Callithrix jacchus: one gene and its partner. The protein of the gene in region 1 purifies or fractionates together with the protein of each later gene. This does not show direct contact. Links are inferred from orthologs where the notes say so. Each region holds a gene or a part of one and is shown in the gene's direction. Other genes may lie near its edges.

Region 1 (3,650 bases):
TGTAGCATGTAGTAGTGGCTATAGAAACCAAATTCTGCTTATGAATTCTTTATGAAATATCCATATTTGAAATGTTTGATTATCAGATTCTTAGGTTAAAATGATTCTTTAATCCAATTGTTATATTTCCTGTTGCAGATTGTATGCAGGCCCAGAGGTAGATATATGGAGCAGTGGGGTTATTCTCTATGCTTTATTATGTGGAACCCTTCCATTTGATGATGACCATGTGCCAACTCTTTTTAAGAAGATATGTGATGGGATCTTCTATACCCCTCAATATTTAAATCCTTCTGTGATTAGCCTTTTGAAACATATGCTGCAGGTGGATCCCATGAAGAGGGCCACAATTAAAGATATCAGGTAATAAAGCAATTTGGAAGTTATCAGATCTGATAGTATCCATGATAAAAGTTAAGTGAAAAAACAAAGGTGCAGAACAGAAAATATAGTGTAATCCTGTTTTTATGTGAAAAAATAGAGTGTATAGACACATTTTATTTTGGTATTAAAAATACATAGTAAACTGATTACCTTAGGGAAGTAAGATTAGTAAGAGGGAGGGGCTTTCACTTTTTACTTACACATTTTGTTTTGAAATTACATATATGTAATATATTTAAAATATTATAATATTACATGTCAATATAATAGTGAACATTATATTACTTTTTAAATTAACAAGCTAATGAAAGCCTGGTGCAGTGGCTCACACCTGTAATCTGAGCACTTTGGAAGGCTGAGGGAGGAGGATCATGTGAGCTCAAGAGTTTGAGACCAGCCTGGATAACATAGTGAGGCCGTGTGTGTGTGTGTGTGTGTGTGTGTGTGTGTGTGTGTATATGTACACATCTTTTTATTTATTACTTTTTTTGACATAAGGTCTTGCTCTGTCACCCAGGCTGGAGTGCAGTGGTGTGATCATAGCTCATTGTAGCCTGTAACTGCTGGGCCAAGTGATCCTTCCATCCTAGCCTCCCTAGTAGCTGGGACTATGGCATCCACCACCATGCATAGCTGCCTTTTTTTTTTGTAGTGACAAGGTCTCTCTATTTTTGCCCAGGTTGATCTTGAACTCCTGGCCTCAAGTCCTCATACCTTTCCTCCCAGTGTTGGGATTACAGGTGTGAGCCAGTATGCCTGGTGTTAGGATTAATACTTTTCAGTAGTACATTTGTGGTTTGCTATTTGATTTCCTATCTCATGAATTATTGTATTTTTTCCTTTTTTTAATCCCAAGGAATGAGAAAATTTTAACTTAATTGACATATTTTTCCCAGTAGTATACATTCAATATATGCAAAATTCCTGTTTTGTAGGTAAAAGTCAGTATTACCAGTTTCATCTGGTTCAACCTACTATTTTAAATAAGACAAAAATGATGACAAATTTTCTTCTCAAATTTGGGTGAGCCATTTCTGATGAAGACTTAAACAATTTTACTGCAAGCTTTGTTTCTTCTTTTTTTTTTTCCGTATGGAAATTTTGCCCTCTTTGGTCTTTTTTTTAATTTACTTTATTCTTTTATTTTTTTTAATTGCATTTTAGGTTTTGGGGTACATGTGAAGAACATGCAAGATTGTTACATAGGTACACATGTGGCAGTATGATTTGCTGCCTTCCTCCCCTTCACCTATATCTGGCATTTCTCCCCCTGCTATCTCTCCCCAACTCCCCACCCCCCACTGTCCCTCCCCTATTTCCCCCCAACAGACCCCAGTGTGTAGTGCTCCCCTCCCTGTGTCCATGTGTTCTCATTGTTCAACACCCGCCTGTGAGTGAGAACATGCAGTGTTTGATTTTCTGCTCTTGTGTCAGTTTGCTGAGAATGATGGTTTCCAGGTTCATCCATGTCCCTACAAAGGACATGAACTCATCGTCATCTGATATGGATCTAGAAATAGTAAATAGGAAAGCAGCATGAGTGTAATGAAGAAGAAGGAAAGATTATATGTAGAACTTGAAGCTTGATTACTTTCCACTTAATACACATGTTTTAGACTAGCTAAAAAAAGAGACTATGCATGTCAGGGCATGATTTTACCACCAAAGGGAAAGGATACATCATTCTCTAAAATTTATATTTTAAAACTACCTAGGTAACAAATGTTTTCACTTGTGTTTTACCTATTTTCTTCCAATTAAAATGTAATACATGACAATTGAAAAAGACTTAGAAAAACATCAAAAAAATTACCTTTAATCCCATAACCCAGAAGATAACAATTGTTCTTTTGTTTTTTTTCCTCTCTGGATCCTTTTTTTTTTTTTAAGTTTAACATAATGTTTGACATAGTGCAGGTCAAACATATTCTTAAATATATGAAGTTAGGGAATTAGAATAGGAAATCATTCAGGGCATGGCCTTTCCAGTCACTTAGAACTGAGTTACAATTCTGGTTCTGTCACTTACTGTCTTTGTGATGTTGAGCATGTTCTTTGATTTTTTTTTTTAACCTCAGTTCCTTCATTTAAAACAAGGAGATACTATTATCTTCATATAATTGCTTTGAGAATAAGGGGAGACAACATATAGGAAGTGTTTAGCATAAAACTTAGCACACAGTAAGTACTCAATAGTTGTCTACTATTTTTCTTGTTATATTATTTGCACTTAACATTATATCAAAAGAGAATTATAATGAAGCTACTTAAGATATGTCATCTTTCTGAGCTGGAAATAAGCTGTTCTTTGTCATTGTCATTTGTCCCATACTTTTTCCCCCGTTGGTACATCAGTGCATGCTCCCTCTTTTTTTTTTTTTTTTTTTGAGTTGAAGTCTCGCTTTATTGCCCAGGATGGAGTGCAGTGAGTGGCGCAATCTTGGTTGGCTGCAAACTCCTGCTAGCCGGGTTCAAGTGATTCTCCTGCCTTAGCCTCCCGAGTAGCCGGGATTATAGACATGCACCACCATACCTGGCTAATTTTTGTATTTTTAGTCGAGACAAGGTTTCACTATGTTGACCAGGCTGCTCTTGAACCCCTGACCTCATGATCCACCCGCCTCGGCCTCCCAAAGTGGGATTACAGGCATGAGCCACCGTGCCTGGTACATTCTCCGTCTTAAAACTGGAGGAAAACTGGAGCATTTCCCTCAACATACACGATGAAGTGTGAGCAGAAGAGGAAACTTTCAGTGGAAAAAGTGATAATAATATAGTATGGGTATAAATATATATTAATTCATAATCTAAATTCCTCAAACTATTACTCTTAGTCTCTGCTCTATTCAGAATTCTTCTCCTGATCTTGCCATTCTCTCTCAGGGAACATGAATGGTTTAAACAGGACCTTCCAAAATATCTCTTTCCTGAGGATCCATCATATAGTTCAACCATGATTGATGATGAAGCCTTAAAAGAAGTATGTGAAAAGTTTGAATGCTCAGAAGAGGAAGTTCTCAGCTGTCTTTATAACAGAAATCACCAGGACCCTTTGGCAGTTGCTTACCATCTCATAATAGATAACAGGAGAATAATGAATGAAGCCAAAGATTTCTATTTGGCGACAAGCCCACCTGATTCTTTTCTTGATGATCACCACCTGACTCGTCCCCATCCTGAAAGAGTACCATTCTTGGTTGCTGAAACGCCAAGGGCACGCCATACCCTTGATGAATTAAATCCACAGAAATCCAAACACCAAGGTG
Region 2 (3,722 bases), on another chromosome or scaffold:
CTGGAACCCAGGAAAAGGAGATTGTAGTGAGTTGAGATTGCACCATTGCACTCCAGCCTGGGCAACAAGAGCAAAACTCTGTCTAAAAAAAAAAAAATCACTAACACTTAACTCCCCTACTCCATTCTCCTTCCCTAGTTATTTTTTTCTTTATAGCCTTTAGCACCATCTGACTGACAGATTGTCCTTTAAATTTTGATATTTTATTCTCCAGGAACTTTTTACATCAATTTTGCTTTTTAAAAAAACAATTGTATTAAAATACTGTTTTTCTTGGTTACTGAGTTCTTTGCTCCCATTCCCTGCCCTGCTTAAATTTCACTGTATTGGTTTGTTGCCTGTGTCCTCTCTAGAACGTAAGCCACACTGATGCAGTGAATTTTGTCTATTTGGTTCTCCTCACTGTCCCCAGTGTCTACAGCAGCAGCTTGTACCTGGTAGCTACCGAAAAACTATTTTGTGAATGGAAATTTGAATTCGTGTCTTAAAGACTGTCTTGGGCACTGTAAAAAAGGTGTCTTTCTCCAACTGTTTCACAACGTTATATTACTTAAATGGAAAGCCCATAAAAATCATAGGATAGATTAGAAACCAATTGCCCAGTGTGTCACCATGGTTACAATGTCGCAAGCGGGTCTCCTGGAGGAGTGGGTGGGGCCTGGCAGTGGGCGGAAACATCACACTTAAATCATCATAGAGTTACACCTCCCAAATTCCTAGAGAATACTTCCGTCAGCTCCGGCCAATCAACGATCTTGGGGAAAGCCGGGTTCTCTCTCTTTGGCTAAACTTCCGGAAAACCTCTCACTCGTGTCTAGAGTGGGGCGGGGCCAGAACTCCCGTAACTCGCCCCCGTCCCCGCCCCCGTGAGCGCGACTTTGCGATTGGCGAGAAGGGCGGGAATTGCTCGTGGCGCAGGCGCGCTGTTCTGACGCGGCGGTGGTCTTGAGCGCGGCTTGGGCTGGGATTGCGGTAGGTGAACGTGGGTGACTGCCAGACATGAGAGACGGGTGCAGGCAGCTGAGTGAAGTGAGCACACAGTTCTGGGCGCGGAGACCTAGGACCCTGGTGTCCGTTTTCCCACGTGCATCCTGTCCTTGAGTTGGGGCGGGCCGAGAATCACATAAACTTGGATACTCCTCGTCTCCTGGTCTCTGTGTCCTCGGAGGGCAGCACTTACTGGTAGCACTTACTGGTCTCCCTCGGTCGTCGTGAGAGTCACGCGGTGTTCTCGAAGTGCTAGTTCTGGAAAGGCCCTGGACCACCCGCTGCCTGAGCCAGCCTTCCTGTTTTATGTTGGAGAAAACGGAGGTCCGGAGCGAAGTAACTGGACAGGGGTTACCGAGCGAGTGACGGCCGAGCTGGTTTTTAGAACTAGGCCTGGGGTTCCATTGCTGTTTAATGTAGCACAGTTCGTGATGGAAACTGTAGGATTTGGAGGCGAGGACCTTGCCTTCCACGTCTGACCCTGCACTTATTTGCTGTGTGGCTTGACACAAGTGACTTTATATCTCAGAGCCTCACTTTTCTGAGTTAGGCCTCATCATCATAATAGCAGCACTTTATGGCACTTAATATGTATCAGGTAACGTTGTAAACGCTTTCTGTACAGCTTTTCTGATTAGTCTGGGGGGCAATGGTGAGTCAAAGAATCTTTAAAAAGACCTGGTCTGGAAGGGCTGACAGTGTCCCGCACAGAAAAAATCCACTGAATGACTCAGAGGCTGTTTGCCAGAGCCTGAACTGCTACGTATGTTAGTCACTATATTGCTTTCTAGATACTCCTTGTGGATAACTGAAAAATTAAGATAATTCTACTTATTCTCCTGTTCATATAAGCTGAGGGGTCTGAGGACAGACATGGTGCAAGTGGGGGAAGAGGGCTTAAAGCTCTCATTTAAATTATCCAGATAATTATATCATTGTACCTGTTTACTTTGTTCTTAGTTTATTAATGTATTTGATCAACAAATAATAATGGGCTAAATAGTAGGCATTATGCTAGACTCTGAAATTTAAAGATGTATAAAACTTCATGAACTCGTAATTTCAGCAAGGAATAGAATATTAAACATCGACACTGACCTCCCCTGTTGGCCCCTATACACACACCCAGAAAGAAAAAAAAAGGTGTGAAACATTATTTGCTTCTAATCCCTGGCACACAACAGTTTCTCTAAAATATTTTTGGAGATGATTCTTGCACCGTGTACTAAAAAGAGGCGTGTGCAGTGGAGCACAGAGGAGGTGCTTTCTCTGTTTAGAGGGGTTGGAGAAAGTTTCTTGGAATAAGTGAACCTTGAATTCGAATTGGAGTTGCTGGGGGTTGGGGGAGGTCAGTCTGTTTCAAGAATGATGAGCAACTTGCTGGGGTAAAAAGCTGTAAGAGTTGTGTTGGGATCAAAGTATGAAGAGCTTTGGTGCCATTCTGACAAAATTATCATGAGAGCCAGCAATTAATGGATTGTAAGCAGGGGAGTGATTGGGTCAGCTGTCTTTTTAGTTGGAGACTCATATGGAGACTGGACTGACAGGGTCAAGAATCATTCAGTTCATTTATTGATAGAACATGTATTGAGGCTGGGCAGTGGCTCACACCTGTAATCTAAGAACTTTGGGAAGCTGGGGCAGGCGGATCACTTGAGGTCAGGAGTTCAAGACCGGCCTGGCCAATATGGTGAAACCTTGTCTCTACTAAAAATACAAAAATTATCCAGGTGTGAGGGCACACACCTGTAGTCCCAGCTATTCGGGAGGCTGAGGCAGGAGAATTGCTTGACCCTGGGAGGCGGAGGTTGCAGTGAGCCAAGACTGTGCCACTGCACCCAGCCTGGGTAACAGAGCGAGACTTCGTCTCAAAAAAAAAAAAAAAAAGTGGGCATGGCAAAGCCAGATCAGGGAGGGGGTAGTGCTGAGATGAGGCTCATGTGGGCTTCAGCCTTATTCTAAGGGTAGCAGGAGGCCATTTTAAGCAAGAAAAGCTGTTACCATCTATGCTTGGGAAGTCTCCCCTGTGGCTGCAGCATGGAGAATGGATAGAAGGAGGGCAGGAATGGAAGCCAGCGACCAGTGGGGAGGCTGTTGCAACCCTCCAGGTGAGAGATAAGGGTGGCCTGGACCTGGGTGGAGGCTGTGGAGGGAAGAGGGACAGATTGGACAGCAAGTGAAGAGGTAGGAATGAGAGAGCCAAGAGGGCTGTGAATGTGGGGCACAGGGAGGGGCAGAGCAGGTGAACCCCACTTTCTGCTTTGGACAAGGTGCAACTTTTGCTGCCATTCACAATGATAGGTAGTGCCAAAGGGGGAGTGGGTTTGGGGGAGGATGCTGAGTTCATTCTGGGCCTCGGAGTTTGAAATACCTGCATGGTGTATTCTCCGGGAGGCAGGTGGAGATTTTGAGTCAGCCCTCAGCCTGCAGGCTGTCCAGGGAGTGTGTGCTGTGAAGAGGGAAGAGACCTATGACATTTCAATGTTGGGGGGAGGGAGCGGGACAAGAGAGGGATGTGTAAAGAACAGGGTTCGCAAGAGACATCGCAACTAAACATCAGCTGCAGTCAACTCCAGGGCAAGGGATTACAGTTGATTTTCTTTTCTGTTTTTTCCCTTTGAGACAGAGTCTCACTGTGTTGCCCAGGCTAGAGTACAGTGGTGCAGTCTCAGCTCACTGCATCCTCCACCTTACAGGTTCAAGTGATTCTCCTGCCTCAGCCTCCCAAGTAGCTG

The links. Proteins that work in one complex are often made in the same cells at the same time.
Region 2: the proteins of PRKAA1 (region 1) and PARS2 purify together in Homo sapiens (affinity purification with mass spectrometry; 3 studies listed by BioGRID and IntAct, with this or other methods). This does not show direct contact. The link is inferred for Callithrix jacchus from reciprocal best matches to the Homo sapiens genes PRKAA1 and PARS2.

The regions. Positions count from the first base shown.
Region 1 is NC_133503.1:164,809,430-164,813,079, forward strand, and holds part of PRKAA1 (5'-AMP-activated protein kinase catalytic subunit alpha-1), read left to right. Parts: intron 1-138; coding exon 139-363; intron 364-3,267; coding exon 3,268-3,650. UniProt on the Homo sapiens protein: Catalytic subunit of AMP-activated protein kinase (AMPK), an energy sensor protein kinase that plays a key role in regulating cellular energy metabolism.
Region 2 is NC_133508.1:91,923,111-91,926,832, reverse strand, and holds the start of PARS2 (putative proline--tRNA ligase, mitochondrial), read left to right. Parts: upstream 1-909; 5' UTR 910-1,585; intron 1,586-3,722. UniProt on the Homo sapiens protein: Mitochondrial aminoacyl-tRNA synthetase that catalyzes the specific attachment of the proline amino acid (aa) to the homologous transfer RNA (tRNA), further participating in protein synthesis.